Linked DNA regions of Notamacropus eugenii. The protein of the gene in region 3 interacts with the protein of the main gene of each other region in a pairwise test. Links are inferred from orthologs where the notes say so. Each region holds a gene or a part of one and is shown on either strand. Other genes may lie near its edges. The genes, in order: PDE6D, ARL2BP and ARL3.

What was found.
Region 1: the proteins of ARL3 (region 3) and PDE6D interact in binary tests that used the Homo sapiens proteins (3 or more experiments, as listed by UniProt). The link is inferred for Notamacropus eugenii from reciprocal best matches to the Homo sapiens genes ARL3 and PDE6D.
Region 2: the proteins of ARL3 (region 3) and ARL2BP interact in binary tests that used the Homo sapiens proteins (3 or more experiments, as listed by UniProt). The link is inferred for Notamacropus eugenii from reciprocal best matches to the Homo sapiens genes ARL3 and ARL2BP.

Annotation. Positions count from the first base shown.
Region 1 is NC_092873.1:58,279,130-58,286,151, reverse strand, and holds the start of PDE6D (retinal rod rhodopsin-sensitive cGMP 3',5'-cyclic phosphodiesterase subunit delta), read right to left. Parts: upstream 3,078-7,022; 5' UTR 2,832-3,077; coding exon 2,782-2,831; intron 1-2,781. UniProt on the Homo sapiens protein: Promotes the release of prenylated target proteins from cellular membranes. Modulates the activity of prenylated or palmitoylated Ras family members by regulating their subcellular location.
Region 2 is NC_092872.1:474,876,130-474,883,394, reverse strand, and holds the start of ARL2BP (ADP-ribosylation factor-like protein 2-binding protein), read right to left. Parts: upstream 3,038-7,265; 5' UTR 2,899-3,037; coding exon 2,858-2,898; intron 1,391-2,857; exon of another isoform or gene 1,143-1,390; coding exon of another isoform or gene 1,138-1,142; intron 903-1,137; coding exon 841-902; intron 1-840. UniProt on the Homo sapiens protein: Together with ARL2, plays a role in the nuclear translocation, retention and transcriptional activity of STAT3. May play a role as an effector of ARL2.
Region 3 is NC_092872.1:180,917,633-180,925,620, forward strand, and holds the start of ARL3 (ADP-ribosylation factor-like protein 3), read right to left. Parts: upstream 3,026-7,988; 5' UTR 2,677-3,025; coding exon 2,674-2,676; intron 1-2,673. UniProt on the Homo sapiens protein: Small GTP-binding protein which cycles between an inactive GDP-bound and an active GTP-bound form, and the rate of cycling is regulated by guanine nucleotide exchange factors (GEF) and GTPase-activating proteins (GAP).

The DNA.
Region 1 (7,022 bases), on a different chromosome or scaffold from region 3:
GAAATAGGACAGATAAGGTAGTTGAGATTCATATTGTGGGGTGCTTTAATGCCAGGCTAAGGGTTCTGAATTTTGTCCTAGAGGCAAGAGGAAATGAACAAAGATTTCTGGGTAAAAGAATGGCCAGGTTTGGTCTATGGTTTCAGAATATCAATTTGGCAGCTCTGTGGAGGATGAACTTTAGAGGGGACATCAGAAGCAGGATGACCAACCAGGAGGTCAACAGGACAGGTGAAAGCTGGTGAGATCTTCTAAAATATGAGCTGCACAGAGGAAAACTGATGGGACAGATGTGAAAGTAGAATCTACACATCTTGACAACTAATTGAATGTAGAGGGTGAGAGAGATAAAAGAATCAAGAATGACTCCAACTGCCTAAACCCTTTGACCCCAAGACTCCATTACTGGGCTTAACCCCCAAGGAATTCACTGATAGGAAGAAAATCCCCATATACACCAAAATACTGAAAGCAGCATTTTTTTGTGACAGCAAAGGCTTGGAAACAAGGTAGATGCCTATTGATTGAAGAATGACTAAACAAATTGTGGTACATGAATGTAAAGGAATATTCCTGTACTGTAAGAAATGATGTATGTGATGAATACAGAGAAGCCTGCATGAAAGAGAAAGAGCTGCATGAACTGATACAGAATGAGGTAAGCAGAGCTGAGAAAACAATACACACAGTAATTACAACAATATTAAAAGAAAGAACCACACTGACATACACAAAATCAAACATGAATGGAGCAAAGTTACAAAGATCAAGGATAACTGGAATGACGACATACCCATTCCTTTGTGGAGGTGGGAGGGACGTAGGTGTTACACCTGGTAAGTATTTTTAGACCTTCTTTTCGATGTATTAATTGGCTGTACTGATTTTCTCCCCCTTTGTGTCTATTAAAAAATAGCATCTGGTATACGAGATGGCAAAGAGAAAGGGAGAGTGGGGAAAATTCTGATGATATAAAAAACAAAAAGTATCAATGAAAATTTGGTTTTTTTTAAAGAATGACTACAAGACTGTAAACCTGGGTGACTAGAAGGGTACTGGTACACTCCACAGAATTAGGAAAGTTTGAGGATCAGTTTGGGTTTGAGAATCACTTCCAGTTTGGACATTCTAACAAGGACTTGGCAATGCAGGGCTTAAAGTTCAGGAAAGAGATTAGAACTAGATCAGCAAAGAGATGATAATTGAACCCGCAGGAGCTGCTAACATCACAAGAGGGAGAAAAGAGAAAAGGACTCAGGTCAAAGTCCAGAGGGACTTACACACAGGAGCAGGAGAAAGAGGATGATCTTGCAAAGGAAACTTAAGAAGGAAGGATCAAAGAGGTAGGAGGAGATTCGAGAGAGAACAGTCACTGAAGCCAAGGTGTGGTTGTACCACTGTGTAGAAATTCTACATCACAGTTACTCTTAGCTTGAAAGGATGTTAGATTAGACATCTAAGCAAAGCATACATACAAAAAGGTCTTGAGACAATTCTCCTTAAGTTACCAAAACTTAGACCTATGTTATTTTTACCTAAAAGTAACTTCTTAGTTTTTCACCCTTAGCCCTCATATACCAGGCATTACTAGCCCAAAGAATACAATTGGAGGGGATCTGATCAATGGCTCCCATCCTTTCTTTTCTATATTATCTTTCCCTAAATTTGTTCCTGGCAAGTTTGTGTCCCAGCACACACACACACCCCTACTGGATCGATGAATTCCCCTTCTTACCTAGAAGACTGCCACGGGTTCTGAATGCTTACCAGTATCCTTCATGTGTATTTAGCTGCTCCTTCAGTTTTCTCAAGAATCAAACCCCCTTAAAAAGGAAAGGCGGTTCCCACTTCCTGCTTCACTCAAACTAGCCCTAGATGCTTTCTGATCTCCAGCAACAGATCGATCTGAACCAGATCAAAACGAAGCTGCTCTCTAGCTTGGCGAAGGTAAGACTGAAGTTAAACGACCGCACCCAGCAATGCTGGAGGAAAATGGGAAGAAACAATCCACAGTCACGGGAGTGGAACCAAATAGACGCCTGCCTCTGTCCACCCTTCCCAGAAGAGCAAGGCCACGCGATGGAAGAGGCAGCCCAGCTCCGCTCCAGCCCTGACTCCCCGAGGCTCAAAGTTTTCGGGAGAGGGAAGTCAGCAGGCTGAGGGCATGTTCACAGCTGCCCTCCTTCCATTTCCGGTCTCACCCACAAAGCTGCTTTCGCCTTTCTGGTGTTCTAAACTGCGGGCAGCGTGACACGGAGGGGGAAAGAAGCTTTCTGCAAGGCTAAAAGGCTGCAGAGAGAGCCCTCGCGAACCCCTGGAGAGGAAGGTGCAGCCATGGTGGGGACACCGGGCGGCCAGCTAACTGCAGCAGACAGCTGGAGAAAGCCTTTTTTTAATCTCTAGCGATTTGATTGTAGCAAACTTTAAGAGCAAAACAAGAGATAAAGATGCCGCCAAGTCGACGTGGAAAGATTACGCTCTTTTTCTGCTGGGATTATACACAGCATTTACAGATTAACGTCGCCCTGGGCACCGCACAACTGGCCACCACGCACCCCAGGGGTCCCGAGCCCAGCCCAGCCCCGGGTGGGAAGCACGAGCGAAGGTGCGGGGCGCCCCAGCACTAACGCCCCCCAGGGCTGCTCCCGCACCTCCTCCTTCCCCTCCCGGCGCCCCGACTTTCCTGCCAGGCACCGAGGAGCCACCGCCCCCTCAGCTCCAGGCCCAGGGTCCCTCCCCCACACACGCCCCCAGGCCCGACCGTCCCCCGCGGGCGGATACAGCTTGAAGCCCCTCAGGATCTCCCGGGCCCGCTCGTCCTCGGTGGACATGACGAGGCGCCGGCGGCTCCGGGCGGCGCTGCCCCGGAGCTAGTCACCTGCGGCGGGCGGCGGCGACGATGACGGCGGCGGCGGCGACGATAAAGGGAGCCGGAGCCGGGGCCGGGGCCGGGCCAGGGGCCGGGGGGCCGGAGCGGGATTCTCGGCTGAAGAGGCGGCGGCGACTGAGGCGGCAGCGGTCCCCGCCCCCCTCCCCCACTGCCGCCCGCCCTCCGCCCCTATGACCAATGGGAAACCGCTATCCTGCCGGGGGCCGGCCCCTCTTTGTGGATGGGCAGCTCAACCTACCAATAGGAGAAGGAGCGGCTTCGGCGGGGGAAGAAGGAGCGTCCCTCCAGAAGACCGTCTCTCGGTCGTCATCCTCCCCACCCGGCCCGAGACGGGAGCCTCCTTGGGTCAATCTTTTCCGCTTGCGTTGCGGCCCGCGGCGCCCCGGGACCGGGTGAGAGCCAATAAAAACAGTTTCTTCCGCCGGCAACCTTGGGGCTCTGCTCCAAGAGTTGAGCGCGGGGACTACAAGTCCCAGCATGCCACAAGCTTTCAGAGGCCCGGAAACTACGAGTCCCATGATGTCCCGCAGGCTGCTCTCGCTCGGTTGGATCACCGCGTAGGTAGACTCGCGTGGACTCGTTCGTAAACATCCAACCGCGTGGGGCTCCTGTGGGTCGTTCTTCCTCCCTGACCCCATCCTGTCTCTGTCTCTCTCCTCTTCCTCTCTAATTCTTTTTCTGCCTTTCCCCTTTCTCCCTCCATCTTTCTCTCCCTCCATGTCCCCTTCTCTCCTCCCTCCCACTCCTTTTCTCATCTCTTTTCTCCTCTCTTTCTCCTTCCCTCTTTCTCTCCCTCTCACATTCTTTCTCTCCCCCATATTTCCTTCAAGGACAAGTTCAGGCACCATCTTCTACATTAACCCTTGCCTGATTCTGGATTCAGGAAGACCCAAGTTCAAATTCAGCCTCAGACACCTACCAGCTGTGCGATCCTGGGCCAGTCACTTGACCTTTGTCTCAGTTTCCCCATGTGTAAAATGAGGATCATAATAGCACTTACCTCCCTGGGTTATTATGAAGATTAAACTGAAATAACACATGTAGGTAAAGTGCTTTGCAAACCTCAGATTACTGCATTAAGTGCTTGACTATTATCCCAATTGCTGGTGTTGTCCTTTCCAAATCCTCAAATTTATGACATACATAACTCCAAGTGTATACTTAGAACAGCTTAGGCTTAAGGTCTGATAGAATGAAACCTCCAGAATGATAGTGACACTGTCCTTGGATATGTAGTTAGAAAAGTCTGAATGTTTGTGATCATGCCCTGAATTGGAAAGAAAAAGCTGTCTAACAATGGCCTGGGGGACTGGTTTTCCAGCTTAGTGAAAAAAAGTCCCTTTGCTCCCAGGGAGCCTGTGCCCTCATGGGATGGACAAAGAGCCATGAGGAAATGCACAGGAAAGGGTCATCCGCAGGTGTTTATTGGGAGGAAGAAAACTTGATCAGTCAGATGCAGATACAGAATTAAAAACAACAGCCACAAAAAAAACCAAAAACACAACCAGAAATGGGTGCCAGTCATAACAAGCTGAAGTAAGGTAGAAGACAGGAATAAGGACTGTCATCTCCATGTTCCCCACAATATATCAATCAATAAACATTTATTAAGCTCCTACTATGTGCTAGGCTAAGAGTTGGAGGATACAAAAAAAAAGGCAAAAGATACTCCCTGCCTTCAAGGAATTTACAATCCAGTGGAAGAGATAACATGCAAACAAATAGGTGTACACAAGCTACATACAGGATGAATAGTAAATAATTAACAGAGGGAAGGCTCTAGAATTAAGAGGGTTAGGAAAGGCTTCCTGAAGAAGATGGAGTTTTAGTTGAGACTTGAAAGAAGCCAGGGAAGCAAAGCACTCAATCACCAGAGCTGGTGATTCGTGTTCTCCGTAAAGTAGACAGTCCAACATTTTGTAGTCCCTCGCAAAATCAGCTGCAAAAAGCCCAGCACCTGTAGTTATATACCATAACAGCAAATACATATCAACCTATAACAAGTACACAAGCATTTATTAAGTGTTCTCTGTATGCCAGGCACTGTGCTAAATACTGGGGCTACAAAGAAGGGCAAAAGATGGTCTATCCCTTCTCTTCTGGAGCTCACAGCCACTGGACCACAGAAGAAAGGATATCAAAGGAGCATCCCAGGGACTCACCTAAGAATGACATCCACAGCAAATAGCTGTGACCACAGTAACAATAGACGATAGACATAGTCATGCAAAGCCTCACTTGCTTCTGTGACTCCAGAAAATTCATCCTCAAGCTTTGCTCTTCATGCCTCATCCTAGTCTCTGCCTCTCTGATTAAGGGACTGAGCACCTATTTCCTCCCAAAGCCCTCAATTAAAGAGGACAAAGAAGCCCATAGTGTTGTTATTCTGTCTTGTCTGACTCTGTGACCCCATTTGGAGTTTCCTTGGCAAAGATACTGGAGTGCTTTGCCATGTCCTTCACAGATGAGGAAACTGAGGCAAGCAGGGGGAAGTGACCCACTCAGAGCCATCCAGCTAGGAAGTGTCTGAGGCTGGATTTGAACTCAGTTCATCCCTAATTTACACCTTTCCTGGACTGACCCCTTTGAGAGAGGGTCTCACCAGACAACAGTACACTGTGTTTAGTGGGGTGGGGGTCGTTGCCGAGGCTGACCATTGCACAGAAAGGTGTCTTCATCTGGTTAGTCCAGCTGACAGTTTCTCACTGTCCCGAGGGGGAATTTCAATAAAAAATAAAGGTCGCTGGCTGCGTGTGCGTGTGTGTGCGTGTCCTGTCTCAGGACCGCTCCGGACACATAAATACACCTCGGATGGCCCGCAGCGGTCCAAGCTGACTTGGGCTAAAGCGCGGGGCGCTCTCCCGGCAGATCTTCAAGCGGAGCCTGGGGGGAGGGGCGGAGGGGGCACGTGGACAGGGCTGGGGGCGGGGAGGCGAAAAGCACCTATCCCGGGGCCGCCGCGCGGGGAAGGCTTTTGTCCGGCCGGGGCGGGAGCCGAGCATGCGCAAAGCGAGAAGGCCTTGACCCGCGGAGTCTGCGCATTGGGCAAAACCGGGCACGGAGAGACTGCGCGTGCGCGCGCGCCGGAACCCACGTGCTGCAGCCGGAACCTGGGCGCAGAGGCGGTGAGTTTCCGAGGGGGCCTCGGAGAGGGCCGGCCCGGCGGAGGCACTTGAGCGGCGGACCCCGGAGCGATGATGGCCGCCTGACGACCCGCGGGGAGGCGCCGGGAGCGGACGGACGGAGCCTTGGCGGCGGAGGCAGGTACAAGGAGCAGGGGTGGCCCCGGGGGAGCTGGGGGGACCCCGGGCTGGAGGGGGCGGGGAGGGCATTCCTGGGGGGGGGTGGTCCGCCCCGCCCCCCTCACCCGCCGCCTCCGGTGAGCGAGGGGAGGGGCGAGCCCCGCCCCCACCGAGGCCTCCCCTCCCCCAGCCCCCCTCGCTTCTCTTCCTTCCTAAGGCCCCTTGTGCCCCCCCTCTGAGCTGCCTCCACCTCCAGGCCTCAGGCCTCCCCCTCCCGCTCCTTCTCCTGGGCCTGCGCCCCCGAAGCTGCCTTAGGCTTGTAGCCCCCGAGTTTATTGGCCTGGAGTCAGGAGGACCCGAGTTCAGATCCAGCCCCGGACACTCTCGGGGTCCCGGGGGGCAGGAGGGGCTCCTCCGCCTCCCCTTTGCCCCCTGGGGACCACAATGGCAGCACCAGCCCCCCTCTCCCGACCTCGGCCCCCGGCCCCCGGTCCCCTCCACGGCCGCCCTCATCTCTCCTGGTGGGGAGAGGCACTTCCAGATTCCCCAGAGAGTCTGGGACCCCCGCCGGAGCCCCTCACTTAGCGTGCTCCTTCTGAGGCTCAGAGGAGAGCCCCCAGCACCCCGCTTCGGGGATATTCGAGGTTCCTGCCTTAGCTCTCCTGCGGCAGATCACCCCCAGAAACACCCCTTGGCCGGGCTTCCCTCGCCCCTTATCCAACATGTAACGTTTTGAGGAAGAAAGCGCCTTTCTTGTACCCTGGGTACCCCAAAACTGCCTTTTCACTAACAACTCCACCTCCATTTCTTGCCCTCCTCAGTCACCCCACCCCTCTCCGCACCCCTGCCCATCTCCCCAGCAGTCTGAGACTGAGAGAGGCCCCCTCCAC
Region 2 (7,265 bases), about 290 Mb from region 3:
GCTAATTACACTGCTAATCTATCCCCCTGGCAGGAGCAGATTTCAGGAAGTCTTCGAATTTTCAATACTTTGATAACTAAATTTCAATATAATTGGTTTCCTTTGAAATCCTACATATTTTTTATACATTAAAATATTACTCTGGGGAGGGATTCACAGGGTTCATCAGAAAGCCAGAGAAGCTTATGACACAAAAAAAGAATCGTTGCTCCAGATGTTATCTTGACCAACAGGGAACCAATTTCTGTAGCAAAAGTAATGGGAACCCTGGGCAAAAATTATGTTACCTTAGAGTTTGTGGGATTCAAGGAAGGAAAAGCTAAACATGGTTATATTCCAAAACTCTAATTAAAATAGAACCTTAAAGTTTTAATGTACCTTAGAAATCATCAAATCTAGACTCCTTTTTACAGAAAGAGAGAAAGACCTACAGAATAAATAACTTGGTCAAAATAGCAAAGCTGAGCTAAAAACTTGCAGTTCAAAGCTCTTGAGTAAACTACAGTGATGTCAATTTTCCAAAATGATGAAAAAAGACAGATTTGGAAGAACCAGTCTTGTGAGGTAATGAGTTTTCTGTTATTGGAAATATACAAGCAGAGAAGAGAATGCCACCTATCCTCAGGTATGCGGCAGAGAAGAGTACTGCAGGGAATGAAAATGTGGGCTAAAAATCTTTTTCCAATTCTACTGGCAATGCACTACATTAGAACAAAAATCTCTAAGTCAAGATATATTATCTTCTTTTTAACACTGGAAAGAGTCTTTATTTTTTTGTGCACAGAGTTTAATTTGTTTTAGTTGAGGCATCTATATTTCTCTTTTATAAATGAAACTTACCCATGATAATGTCCTCTATACATCCAACTACTGCATCAAATTCTGCATCAGAAGCGGAAGAACTGAAAATTAATATCAGGATTATAGGTCAGACAATTTATCCAATAATTGGTTTAATTCCTTTTATGGGTACATCCCACCTTTATAAGAACAAATTGTTTTACATAAGGTTTTCTGAAACAATAAGCAATAAAAGGAGTCACTACAGAGTTCCTTTAAATATAAATTTGAGTCACACAACTTTTAGGCAACATAACTATGTAATTAAGCAAGGGATCCCTGTTCTGCTCCACTTACCGCATCTTTGAAGCTGACCCCAAAACTAGTACAAACTATCTGCTTATGGTCACCACAATCTGGAGCATTAAAAACTGTGTACCACAGCTGAAGTTGGCCACCTATGTAGGAGTATAATTCAAAGAGATGACTTGGAATTCCCCCAAACTCTGTATGACTTTTGTTACTTTAGGGGACCTGTTCTTCTTATGTTGCTATCAAGGCAACTCTAATCAGTCAGATTTCATGACAGGCTTTGAATATCACTGGCTTGAGAGAGGCTGGTCCTCATTGTGATGGTGGCATAAAAAAATTCCATGACAACACACACTACTGTACTTGACAAATCTCTGGTTGGCTGGAGATATGGCATTCAGGGTTCAAGCACAGAGTGAGCAGGAGGAAACCTATTGAGTTTCAATACAGTATAAAAATCTACTCTATTCTTTGGAATACCTTCTGCTAAGAGAGTTTCCTTTTAAAGTTCTTTTACACAATTTAATAAGAAGGTCCAAACTGTAGCAACAGAAGCTGGAAGGAATCTGAAAATTACCTAGTCCTGAGCTTCTCTCAACTATGGCTGCTGCCTGCTAGCTAAGCATGATTTCCACATTTAAAAAAAACATTTTACTGTATTTAAAAATATAAAAATCATTCTTAGTTCCCTGCTTGTACAAAAACGGGCCATGAGTTCAACTCTTTCACTTTACAGATTAAGAAAACAGGCCCAGAGGGGAAAGAAGTGACTTGCTGGAGATCAGACAGGTATTAAGTAGCAGAATCAGGATTCAGACCTTGGTCCTTTGATCCAAGAAGCAGTGGTGTACAATGGAAAGAGCACTGATTCTTGAGTTAGAGGCCAAAAGTTCAAATCCCATCTTTAGTGCTTACTTACCACCCTGTGTGATCTTGGACAATTCCTTTAGCGTTTCTGGTCCTCACTTTTCCTCATCCGTAAAATGAGGAAGCTGGATTAGATGGTCTCAGAGGTCCTTTTCAAATCCATATATGTATGTGCATGTGTGTATGTATGTATCTGTGTATATATGTGTATACATGTATGTATATGTGTGCAATACACATCTGTACATGTATACATATGTGTGTGTGATCCTATTGTAGGTAGATGAAGGGGGTCCTTGAACTTGGATGGGGAAAAAAGGAAAATTACAACTTTATTTTTGCTAACCACTAAATGAAATTGAGTACTTCCTTCAATCACTGAAAAACATTATTTTGAGAAGGGGACCAGATGCTTCACTAGGCCTTCATAGAGGTCTATCCGGGAAAGGAGGGTCAAGTCATTAAGTGCCAGGCACCAGGGATATAAAAAGGAAGGCAAGGCAAACAAAAACCAAACCCAATTCCTGCCCACAAGAAGCTCACAGACTAAAAAAAGGTTAAGAACCCTGAGACCACCCCAGCCCCCTCCCTCCTTACCCCCATTTTACTGATGAGAAAGCAGTTTAAGTGACTGGTCACCCAGGAAACATCCCGAGGCAGCACTCGAACCCAGGGCCCCATTCACTCCTCCTTCTACTCCAGCACCTCGCTCCCTCTCCTCGTGTAGCTAAAAGCACGGGGGTGGGGGGCGGGGGGAGGCTGGTGCTTTGCAACCTTGGACAATCTCTGAAAATCTTGCACGCGTCGGGAGGCTGTCTAGCAACTTCCCCTCCCCCATCCTCGCCCCCCCCCCCCAAAAGTTGGGCTTTGCGGCGCAGCTGTCGCTGGGGTCACTCACATGGCCAGGGCGAAGTTTTCTTCTTCTAAAGTGTCCATCATAGTTGACCGTGAAGCTCCCAGTCGTTCTGGGGCCTCCTCCCTCACCTCTACCTGATCTGAGACGCGGCCTGGGCTCGGGAGGGAGACTCCGGGCACCTCGGGCTCCTCCTACTCCGATTCCACCCCCACCCCCACCCCACCCCTACCCCTACCCCTTCCCTCCCCGTCCCGGGTGGGCCGGGTCTCGGGGACCAGCCTGCGCCTGCGCACTGTAGGGTCCACTCGGGGCCCCCCCGCTGCGGGGTGCTCCGAGTGCCCCGAGGCTCTAAATGGCTTCCCCCCCCTCCCCAAACCGCGGAAGTGGAGAGGGTCGAAACCCGAACTTCACTCAAGCGGAGGGGACCGTGAGCTTCTCCCCCGGATTCGATGCCCCATGGAATCCGTTACGGTTCTGGTTCCCCCCACCCCGCCCCCCTGCGGCGTCGCCTGAACGTGGAATCCCTCCTTCCCCTGCTCCTCCCCGCCCCCGCCGCGCTCCCGTTACCATGACGACAGCTCTTTCCGCCTGCCGTTCCAATCCCGTCCCGGCGTCCTTCCAGACGGAAAGGGCGGGGCCGGCCAGCCTATCACAGCGGACGCCGTCTGCGTCTGCCCGCCCTACGTGAGGCTGCGTGGAGCTGGAGGAGGCGGAGGAAATAAACGAGGGAGGTTTTCACCGTTGCTGCAGAGTGGTTTTCTTGGGGCGCGCCTCTTGGTGACCCGTGTGCGGGCTTCCCGCAAGGACAGCGGCGGGGCTGGCCTTCCCCGTCTCCAGCTCGTTTTTCAGATGGGGACACAGGCTGACAGGCTTAAGGGACTTGGCCGGGCCTCCAGCCAGTGGGTGTCTGAGCACTGACTTGAACCCGGGGTGACGGTCTTCTCGCTCCCCGGCAAGGTTACCGTCATTTGCTTAAATTGGGAGCTCTCGAGCTGGGGTCGCGAACTTAAAAAAAAAATTAATCAAATTCAGTGTCAAACCCGTGTATTTTATTGGATACATTTAAAACCATTATTCCGAGAAGGGGCCCGTAGACTTTCCCGGTTGGCCAAGGAGTCTGTGGACACAAGAGAAATTAAGAACCCAGGGTTCGGGATCGAATTGGTAATAAAGTGTCTGAATTTGGATTCGAATCCTGGCGTCTTCCGACCCCCAACGCTATTTACTTTTCCACTAAAGCCAGCAGAAGAGAGAGGGAAGAGGAGAAAAGAGCTCATTTAAGATATTTTAAAGTATGATAGATAAGGCTGGTAGCCCCTCCGCACCCCCGCACGTGGTTTAATAGGCTAGTTAGTGGATATGTATGGTATTCAATAAGTGCTAAACCATTTCTGTAAAGTGTTAAGCATGTATGTTACAGCGGCTGGCCCTGGAGTTCGGAAGACCAGAGTTCAAATCTAACGTCAGATACCAGGTGACACTGCTTGCCTCAGTTTCCTCATCTGTAAAAGGAGCTGGAAAACCACTGCAGTGTCTCTGCCAAGAAAACTCCAGATAGGTCACAAAGAGTCAGCTACGACTGAAGAAAAACATTAAGAGTGAGCTCCCAGGGGGAAGGGGCAGTTCTGCTTTCTGAAGATAATGGTGCTCGAGTTGAGCTTTAAGTGAGGGATAGAAATTCAGCAGAAAAAGGGGAAGAATGCATTCCATGGGAGGGGAACAAAGGCTTTGAGCTGTGAAGACACTGTCCAGTTTGACTGGAGGGTAGTTGTAGAAAAAAATGAATAAAAATAAGGTGGCATTAGCTTTAACGTGATATTAAGGGATAAGAATCTTTAATTGGTAGGTTCTAGGGAGCAACTAAGTTTTGTTTTTTTTTTTAACTGGAGTGACTCTTTGTCTGGACATCTCAAACTAAGAGATTTCAGACCCAAATTCATTATCATTCTCCCTCTCCTCTCCTCTTCCCTCCCCTCCCCTCTCCTCATCTTTTCAGCACCTTGCGCAGTACCTGGCACACAATATAGTTAAGTGCTTAATAAATATTTGTTAATTGCTAATGGAAAGATCCCTGGATTTGGAGATGACTTAAGTACAAATCCTATTTGTATACTTAGAAGCCTTTGTGAACTTGGGCAAATTACTCCTTGATCCCTCTTAATGCTAAAACATTTTCTCTATTGATTGGTCTTCAATTTATCTTGTATATACTATGTTGTTTGTGTATAGTTATTTTCATGTTGTATCCCCCTTCAGACTGAGCTCCTTGACAGCTGGGACTGTCTTTCACCTTTCTTTGTATCTCTAGTGCTTAGTATGGTGTCTGGCATATAGTAGGTGCTTATAATGCTTATTGACTGCCTGCTGGACTGATTTTCCTTCTCTAGGCTTCTGGTTTTTTTTTTTAATTGTATAGTTAATTTTTTTATTTTTAGTTTTCAGCATTCATTTCCATAAGATTTTGAGTTTTGAATTTTCTCCTCTCCTCCCCTTCCCCAAGATGGCATGCAATCTGATATAGGCTCTACTTATACATTCATATTAAACATATTTTCACATTAGTCATGTTGTAAAAAAGAATTAGAATTAATAGGAGGAACCATTAGGAGAAAGGAGAAACAAAACAAAACAACAAAAGAAAAGGAGAGCAAATAGTATGCTTCTGTCTGCATTCAGACTCCAGAGTTCTTTTTCTAGATGTGGATGAGTTTTTTGGAATTGTCTTAGATCCTTGCATTGCTGAGAAGAGCTAAGTCTATCAAGGTTAAGTGATTGCACATTTTAACTGCTACCATGTACAATGTTCTCCTGGTTCTATTCACTTCATTCAGCATCAGTTCATATAAGTCCTTCCAAGTTTTTCTGAAGTCTGCTTGCTCATCATTTCTTATAACACAATAGGATTCCATTACATTCATATACCACAACTTATTTAGCCATTCCTCAATTGATAGGCATCCCCTCAATTTCCAATTCTTTGCCACCACAAAAAGAGATGCTATAAATGTTTTTGTACATGTGAGCCCTTTTCTCATTTTTATGATCTCTTTGGGACACAGGGCTAGAAGTGGTATTGCTGGGTCAAAGAGTATACACAATTTTATAGCCTTTAGGGCATAGTTCCAAATTGCTCTCCAGAATGACTGACTTAGTTCACAACTCCACCAACAAAGCATTAGTGTTCCAATTTTCCCACATCTTCTTTAACATTTATCATTTTCCTGTTTTGTCATGTTAGCTAATCTGATAGGTGTGACGTGACACCTCAGAGTTGTTTTGATTTGCATTTCTATAATCAATAGTGATTTAGAGCATTTTTTCATATGACTATAGAGAGCTTTAATTTCCTCCTCTGAAAAGTACTTATTCATATCCTTTGACCATTTATCAATAGGGAAATCACTTGTATTCTTACAAATTTGACTCAGTTCTCTATATATTTTAGAAATGAGGCTTTTATCAGAGACACTGGTTGTAAAAATTGCTTCCCAGCTTTCTGTTTCCCTTCTAATATTGGTTGCATTGGCTTTTTTTGCTCAAAAACTTTTCAATTTAGTGTAATCAAAATCATCCAATTTGTATCTTATCATGTTCTCTATTTCTTGTTTGGTTATAAATTCTTCCCTTCTCCATAGATCTGACAGGTAAACTATACTTTGCTCTCCTAGTTTGCTTATAATATCAGTCTTTGTATCTAAATTATTTACCCATTTTGACTTTGTCTTGGTATAGGGTGTAAGATGTTGGTGTATACCTATTTTTTGTCATATTATTTTTCAGTTTTTCCAGTAATTTTTGTTAAATACTGAGTTCTAATTCCCAAAACTGGAATCTTTGGATTTATCAAATAGCAGATTATTATAGTCATTGACCAATGTGTCTTGTGTACCTAACCTATTCCACTTATCCTCCACTCTGTTTCTTAGCCAGCACCAAGTAGTTTTGATGATTGCTGCTTTATAATACAATTTAAGATCTGATACAGCTAGGCCACCTTCCCTTGCATTTCTTTTCAGTAATTCCCTTAATATTCTGGACCTTTTGTTCTTCAGATGAATTTTGTTATTGTTTCTGTCTGGCTCTATAAAATAATTTTTTGGTAGTTTGATTAGTATGACACTGAATAGGTAATTTAATTTAGGTAGAATTGTCATTTTTATTATATTAGCTTGGCCTACCCATGAGCAATTGATATTTTTCCAATTATTTAGATCAGACTTTGTATGAAAAATGTTTTATGATTGCATTCATATAGTTCCTGGGTTTGTTTTGGTAGGTAGATTCCCAAATATTTTATAATGCCTCCTGTAACTTTAAATGGAATTTCTCTTTCTATCTCTTGTTGTTGAAGTAGGCCTCAGTTTCTTATAAAATAAGGGGATTGACGGTTCCTTTCAATTATGGATCTTTTGATCTATAGAAAAAGGGAGATATATGCTGACATTATGCA
Region 3 (7,988 bases):
AAAGTCTTAAGCTTTTCTTGGAGACAAAGATGTCAGTGTTCCTTTCTGCCAGTGTCAATGGAATGGACTTTTCCTCATAAAGAATGGATCTGTAGTACTTTATCCAGTGAATTTTTTTTATAGAAAAAGAGTATAAAACAGTGGCATCAAACACAAATGGAAATGGGGACTACTAATCTATACATCGATACCAAAGCATATTGGCTTGGTTTCAAAATATAATCTATGTTTTAATGTACTTTTATTTATTTTGTTAAATATTTCCAAATTATATTTTAAACATTTCTGGTTTAGAATAATCCTCAAATGCAAAATACATTTGAAAACTACTGACATATCAAAAACCAATACAGTAATACAATACTTTCTACAGAGCTTTGAATTACTAAGTGATTGAACAAAAGAATTCTGGTTAAAAATGTGAAGTTAGGATTAAAATGACTTGTGATCTTGTCATTTCATACATGTGTACTATAAACAGCTTAAAATGTTTGAATAAACTATCAGTGAATGAGTAGGCTTTTTGTTACAGTAGCCCAATTTTTAAAATAAACAAGTATCAATAATGAGTCTTAGCTGAAGGTTTTAGAGTTTGCTGGACTTTTTATTTCAAGAAGTTGGTAACTTGTATCTATAGTTTGCTTTGCCACTTTTACTGGCCTTAAAGTGAAATTAGATTTGCTTTTATAATAGTAGCACTGCAAATACTATATGTATCATATAGTCTATATCTATAGACTATATATGTCTACCACATTAGAAAAAAATTCAACACTAGTAAAATTATAGGAGTACATGTAAAAGAACAGCTTATAGTTGATATAGATAATGATCTCAGAAAACATCGAGTGACTAAAAAACCCAAACACAGAATTCTGAAAACTGACACATTAAGTTACATTACAAATGTTTAAAAAATTGACATTTTATTTTCCATTTCGCTCAATTAAGTCTTTACCAGACATCCAATACGGTAGATCCCTGAGATACAACGACAAAAAAAAAAGCAGGCCCTATCTTAAGGATCTTAATTCTATTGTAACAATAACAGACCCTCTCACAGATAAGCAAAAAAATTAAACCACACATATACTATGGAATGTCTGTGCTAATTATTTCATACATACATATATGTATACAGACATATGAGAAAAAATTCAGCAAAACCCTTGAAAGTCAATTTACACCTGGAAGTAGATCCAGTGGTTACTGTCATTTATATTCTTCAATTTAAAAAAAAAACCAAATTATTTCGTTCATTTGATGGATAAACTGGTAAATATTAGCCAATGATGATACATTTATCATCTGTGATGACAATCTTCATCTTCTGTTGGTCTGACATGCCTATTTAGCTTCAGTTCTAGTTACTTTTGGGTAAATATTTGTGTTCTTTAATGACAAATCTTTCTAATGAATAGCTCATAAACAAATGATTAATAAAAAGATAACACCAAAAATATTTACACAAATCTGTTTAGCCTGAGGTTAACAAAACTGTTACATAGAATGTGCAAAATCTGGTTGGCAGCATTAGCTAAAATAATTCTACTTATTATACTTAGCAATCATGATCATGTGCAATCAATTGGTTTTTCCTCCTATAGTCATTGATCTCTTATCCAACACTGGATAAGTTTTCTCATTTTGCTCCAGCTTTTTGTAAGCCCTTCAACCACTGAAATGTTCCAATAGTTTTAAAGGTTAAAAAAAATGAGCAGTGGAGAGCAACTCAAACTCCAGTTTCAGCATCACTCAAGGCTACAAAGCCTAACTATTTTTCCTTTCAAGTGACTAACTGACCAGCATCCTCAGGAAGCCTAAGAATACTTTTTGGGATAGGAACAAGATCGAAATGACATCTCAAGCACCTCCAAACGAAGTATTCCGAGGGTCCAAACAGAAAAGGCCAAACTATCCGAGGTCCAAAATACGGGAAAAGTTCTCGTTTGGGCTGATAAGTGAGAACCTGTGCCACAGGCTGATAACCAGTCCACCTACCCTTTTCCTTTGCCCAAGGAAGCCCGGGGTATTCTCCCCAAGGCTAGGCTCTTCTATTAAGTTGGATCAACTCAAAAAATAAGGCGTGTGTGTGTGTGTGTGGGGGCAGTCTCGATGGGGCTAAGACCAGCTGGGGCAGATTCGTGATGGCCCCAGGCAGAGCTGGGGCTCTGGCCTGGTTATCCCGGAGGCTGGGATGGGCAGGTCCCCAGATCACAAAGCGGGAGAGCTTCTCCCCAGAGGAAGCCTCTCAAGCGCAGCGGGCCATCCCCACTTCCCGGGGCCCGCACCTGTGGACACGGAGCCCGGCGGGGGGAGCGTTCCCGCCACTCCCGGATGGAGGCATGCAGAACCCCCGGGGTCCCGGGGAGGAGGAGGGGAGGGCGGCTGAGAATCGCTCTTCACAGCCCTCACCCCTGCGGAGCTCGGCCGCGGGCGGCTGGGGGAGCGCGCCCGGAGCCCCTTTCCGGGCCCCCATCTTCAAGCCTTGCCCTCCCTCAGGCCCCAGGCCTCCCACCCGGCCCGTTTCAGGCTCTCCTTGCCGCTCCCGGGCGCTCCCAGCACGACGGGAAGGGTCTGAGGGCGTCCCGCCCGAGTCCTGCCTGAGCCCTAGGGTCCGAGAGCGGACCTGGGTTGGGGGGGCTCGAGGGCGGCCCAGACACCCACACTCACCATCCTCCCGCCGACTCCCTCCTCTGCCTCCGCCTCCTCCTCCTCCTCCTCCTCCTCCTCCTCCTCCTCCTCCTGCTGCCTCCCCCGTTACCAGGGGCAACTGCGGCGGCACCGCCCGTCCCCGGCGCGGGCACCGCCCCGACGTCCCGCCGCCACTACACGCACAGTGGGCTGGGGCGGAGACACCGAGGAGAGAGAAGGAGAAAGGGGTCCCGCGAGTCCCTTCCCAAGAGAGCGCAGGCGCACAGAGACGCAATCCAGCCCGAGCGTCCGGCCAAGCCCTTTCCTGCGCAGGCGTACTCCTTTTTCTGCTTTAAGCCCGAGAGGGCGGGGGGAAGTAGGTGATGGAAAGTTGCCCACGTGGCCAGCCAGGGACGGCCCCCTCCTGTGATTGGTCCGGAAGCGGAGGCGCGGGGGGCGGAGCCGAAGGGGCGGAACGCTCCTGGGAGGGGCGGCAGTCTGTGTGAGCGCGCTTTGCTTTCCGCTGTCTGTGTCGACGTCTGGCCTGGCTTCAGGTTTGGCTTTTGGGGAGCGGCCTAGGGGCGAGGGTGGACGGGCGGCACGGACTAGCCTGACTCTTCCCGCGGGCTCCAGGGCCCCTGGCTTTTAGGAGGGGAGATAGGTTCAGGGCGCGCAGACTCCCAGCGTGGTGCCAACGGCTCAGTTCCCATGTGCTGCGGCTGCCACAGGGTCAACGTGGCAAAAAAGAAAAGGGGGGGCCCCACGTTGGGAAGACTGGCACTGCTCTTCCAAGCAGCCCCTAGGAAAAGAAAGAGGCAGCCGTTCCCCCCCAGTGCGAACACTTTGGCACTGGTGGAGGAGGCCCCTCCTCCGCGCATGCACTGCCCCACCCCCACATCTCAGAGGCCTGTACTCAACTGAATCTCCCTAGAGGTTGGGTCGCAGGAGGCGGTGTCTTGGAGGTCTCAGTGGGGGCAAGTCTGGCAACTGTGCCCTGAGCGTGGATCCTGGGAGCCACGATGCTCTGGAGTCCCCACAAGTCCCCAAGCACCTACCCTGGAAGCCAGTAGATGCTGCCACACTTCTGCTAATGATGACCAGGATGCCTCCTTAGAATACTCATCCCAGGAATAAAGTGGGGGTCTTCCAGGGCAGCTTGGAGGGCCAGAACAACGTGATCTTGTTTCTTGTCTCTTTGGAAAGGGGGCCTGGACGTGTAGTGAAAATGTGGCCACTTCAGAAATACTCCTTCTAAGTAGTCTGAAGCTTTAATGTAACTGATGACATCTGCATAGCACCTTAACGTTCACAAAGAGCTTTGTGGCTGTTGTTCAGAGTTGTCAGATTCTTCCTGACCCTACTGGCCGTACCTGTCCATGGGGTTTTCTTGCAGAGATACTGGAGTATTTGCCACTTTCTTCTCCATAGGATTAAGGTAAACAGAGGTTGACTTGCCTAGGATCACATAGCTGGTAAGTGTCTATGGCTGGATTTCAACTCAGGTCTTCCTGACTCCAGGCCCAGACCTATCCACTGAGCCCCTAGCTGTCTCCTTCATAAAGAGCTTAAATTACTTTATTTGATGCTTATATTACCTGTTGAGTTAGATAGTACAAGTATCATTTTCAGATGAGGAAACTGAGCAACAGGGACTGAGATGCAGGTTCCATGTAGCAGATCTAGTAATGGACAAGCTCGGATTTGAACCCATGTTTTCTGACACCAAATTAGTATCTTTTTTCTGTAACCACACAGCTGTCTCTTTGGAGGAGCAGAGATGGCTTGGGCTTGGAGATTTTAGGAAGTTATGTGTCTTTAGAGTTTGTAGGATTTTCTTCTGGGTCACCCTCTTTAAAAAAAATTAGTGATATATTTTCTTTTTACATCACTAGCTTTCTGGTGTATTCTTTTCCCCTGTTTAGAAAATCATCCCTTATAATAAAAATGCTTTAAAAAAAAGTTCAGCAAAACTACCCAACGTATTGTAAAAACCTAATATATGTAGTATTCCATACCTATACCTCTTTTCTACAAAAAATGGCAAAAGTGGTCACCCTCCTAGCTCTCATTTTGGCGGCAGGCAGGAGCCAGATTTTGATAGCAGTAGGCTTTTAGATTTGGCTGGAGTCAGTGGACTTTGCCCACAGGATAACTAATTAATCGTTTATTTTGGGTGTATTTATAGAACTAGACTTCTGTGCTTTATGGTGCATAATGGTTTTTATTATTGCAAGAAAATTTTATTGTCGGCACTTAATTTCAGGGTTCAGACCAGGCTTAAAGCATCAGGAGAAGCTCAAGTCAAACTGGCAGGAAGGCAGGCCCAGCTTCTAGTCATGTTTCAGGCTCTCTCCAACATGCACTCCCCCAGCTCAACCTGGGGGCCTACTTGCAGTTGCAGCATAGCCAGGGTCAGGGTAGTTTTCATGGCATCCAGGCTGTATCCTCTCTCCTCTAGGGCAGTTTTCTGCTCAGGCTAAAGAAGGATGGCCTCTCTTCCCCCCTTTCTGTTACTGCAGAAAACAAAACACTTAGCACCTATTTATCCTTTGTGAGCTCATGTTTGGAAAGAGTAGCATCTTCCTCAGTTAAACTAGATATCTAGGGTCAAGTAGGATCAGGAGGCTTATTGGTAGAGGTTGGCCAGATGGTTGACAGCAGCAGAGGTGTTATTATCTGTGCATAATGGTTTCAAACATTGGTTTCTACCTTACAGGACTCTTCAATTGGCAGACAAGACATATCCTCCTGTAGTATATGCTGAAGTGGTTTATCAGCCAAAATTCCAGACAATCCTCAACTGCTGCCTAGTGGTCTCCAGACTACTGACTCTTGTGCCAAAGAGATAATGGAAATTTCTGTTTCAAAACACCCTAAATGTTAACATTTTGTTTACCAGAGTTGGTGGGTGTAAGCATGAGGATGAATTAATAGCTTCATATTTCCCATTTTTGAGGTTGTTTGGGCAAACCCTAACATCCAGATGTTTTTTGTTCAAAAAGAAGTGCAGACTAGTAGTTAGTCATTGACCCCCAGCAAGGGATTGATGGTGAGCCATTAGAGCCCTTTGTACCTCCTTCCTACCCAAGGATTATATGCCTTCCTTTCTTGCTTGCCTAGAGAGTAAGGCTGTGAGGGTAAAGTTCTTAGGAAAGGAGAAAATTATCTGTATTTTTTCTGTCCAACAGAAGGATCTCCAAAAACTTGATAGCGAAATGCTACTACCTCTCAGGACTGTTTGCAGTCGTACAGCAGCACTTTCTTTCAAGGAGAAATGTTGCATTAAAGAAGATGGCATTGAAGTATAGTGGAAAAGAACACTGAACTAGGGACCTGGAGATCTGGGTTCTAGATCACTTGGCTGTCTGACCTTGGACAAGTCAGTTCCTTCTGTGGATTTCACTTTCTACCTCTGTAAAATGAGGGCATTGAACTCCAAGGTTCCTTCCAGTTCTAATATTGTATATTTCTAAGGGGAGGAAGAATGATTCTTTTGGGTCTGTGAGGTGGGAAGAGTTAATTAGTAAGTCATTTGTCTCATTTTTTCCTTATCCAAGCTAGATAACTGAGTACCATCTGTGTAAATATCGTTCCCTTGGGTTAGCAGCAAGGCTCAAACTGTCTTTCCTGACCACCACTCCAACTGAGATCTTGCTTGGGATCAGGATTTCACCCTCAGTCAATCAACAAACATTATTAAGTGCCTTTTATGGGCCTGGCATTTTGGTATGTAATAGGAATATAATTACAAAGAATAAAACAATAACTGATTTCAAGGAGCTTACGTTCTAATAGGGGTCTACGTTATGTACATAAATGTAGAACCTGGCCCTGGCAATGCCCCATTATAATTCCCTAGACTGGCTTGTTCATTCCAACCAATCCTCACGCAGACAGGTCTGAGATTCTCAGAGAGTGAGGTGCCACAGCTGACTCAAAAACTCCCTCCAGGTCCTAGGAATCACCTTTTGTGAGCTGCTGTAGCCCTTCTACTAACCACAGTAGTTCCTGAGCCCCCATTGTTGTGCTTCCTGTTTATAGGGAATCAGTCTGTATTACATTACTGATTCTTGAATATAAAACATATTTAATGATGAAGCAAAAGCAAGAATAATTATAAAATCCATGTTATTCAGTATGAGGTAAATGCAAGGATAATCACAGCATTATAGTCCACCAATAAACCTGGGTCACAGTCTTCGAGTAATGCACCTCCATGTTGGTGGTGAAGAGTAGATACATAGAAACCCCTCCCTTTTTTTTAAACCACAAATGAATTAATTTATTTATGAATGAGTCAACAGCACTGCTTTCCTTCCAATAGTTAAATATAGCAGACAAGTAGAAAAGTCCCATTTTTAATATAATTTACCTTCCATCAGAACAGGCTGCTAACTGTAGGCAGTGTCTCCCCTATCTCTCCTACAGTCAGAGTTGTACTAGGAGAGCCAGTCTCATCTCCAGCAAGCTCTTCAAACCCAGCGTAAGCAGTGTCAGAACTTCCTCAAGGAAGTACAGAGCCTATAGCTATGCCCCTTGTCCTTTGTAGAGTTTAAAATGAACTGCAAGCCTGTCAGTGACTGCTTAACCGCTACCCCCAGCCCCAGCACACTGAGGCCTCCTATCCTGTCTTAAGCATCCTGCTGGAACTGCCTGCCTGTGGGTCCTCCACCCCACCAAGGCTAGCTCCCAGTGACCAAACCATTGAGTGTCACACAGTCCATCTGGTGGGTTGGTTTTACTTGTGCATAAAATGAGAAAACATTCAGTGAAGCCTTTTCTGTCATGGAATAGGAGGGTCTATAGGAATAGGAGGGAGACACATGAATGGGAAAATCCATGTGCTTGGGGGGGACAACTTATAATTCTTGCTTTCAGGCTCTGATGTCCTTGGTCCCCATTAGGAATCACCTGTACCGCAAGAAGCTACTTCTCTGCTGTTTTGGTTTTGGTCCTCACCATTCTCCTGTTGGGCATATCATCTTCTCTTTTGCCCTCAAGCTGATGAGGCACTGTTGTACAACTTCTTTTAACTCACAGTCATTTTTAACAGGGGTCTGAGAAAGTATAACACTTTCTCTAGTGACATGCCATTACTTTCAACCAGACAGCTGCAAAGCTCTTCAGGTTATCTCTTTGGGATCTGTAGACAAACAAGCCCAGTTAGCTCTTCATTCAACAGAAGTCTGCTTTGTCTAATCACCACTTTGTTTTTTCTTACAGCAAAGCACAGCAAAACTCATCTTGATTCTCATGTGCAAATGCAGACAATCCCAGCTAGCTTTCCACTTAAGTAGGATTCCATTTTGTCCAATCAGCTCCAAGGTTCTCTTTCTCCTTCTTAAACAAGAGAG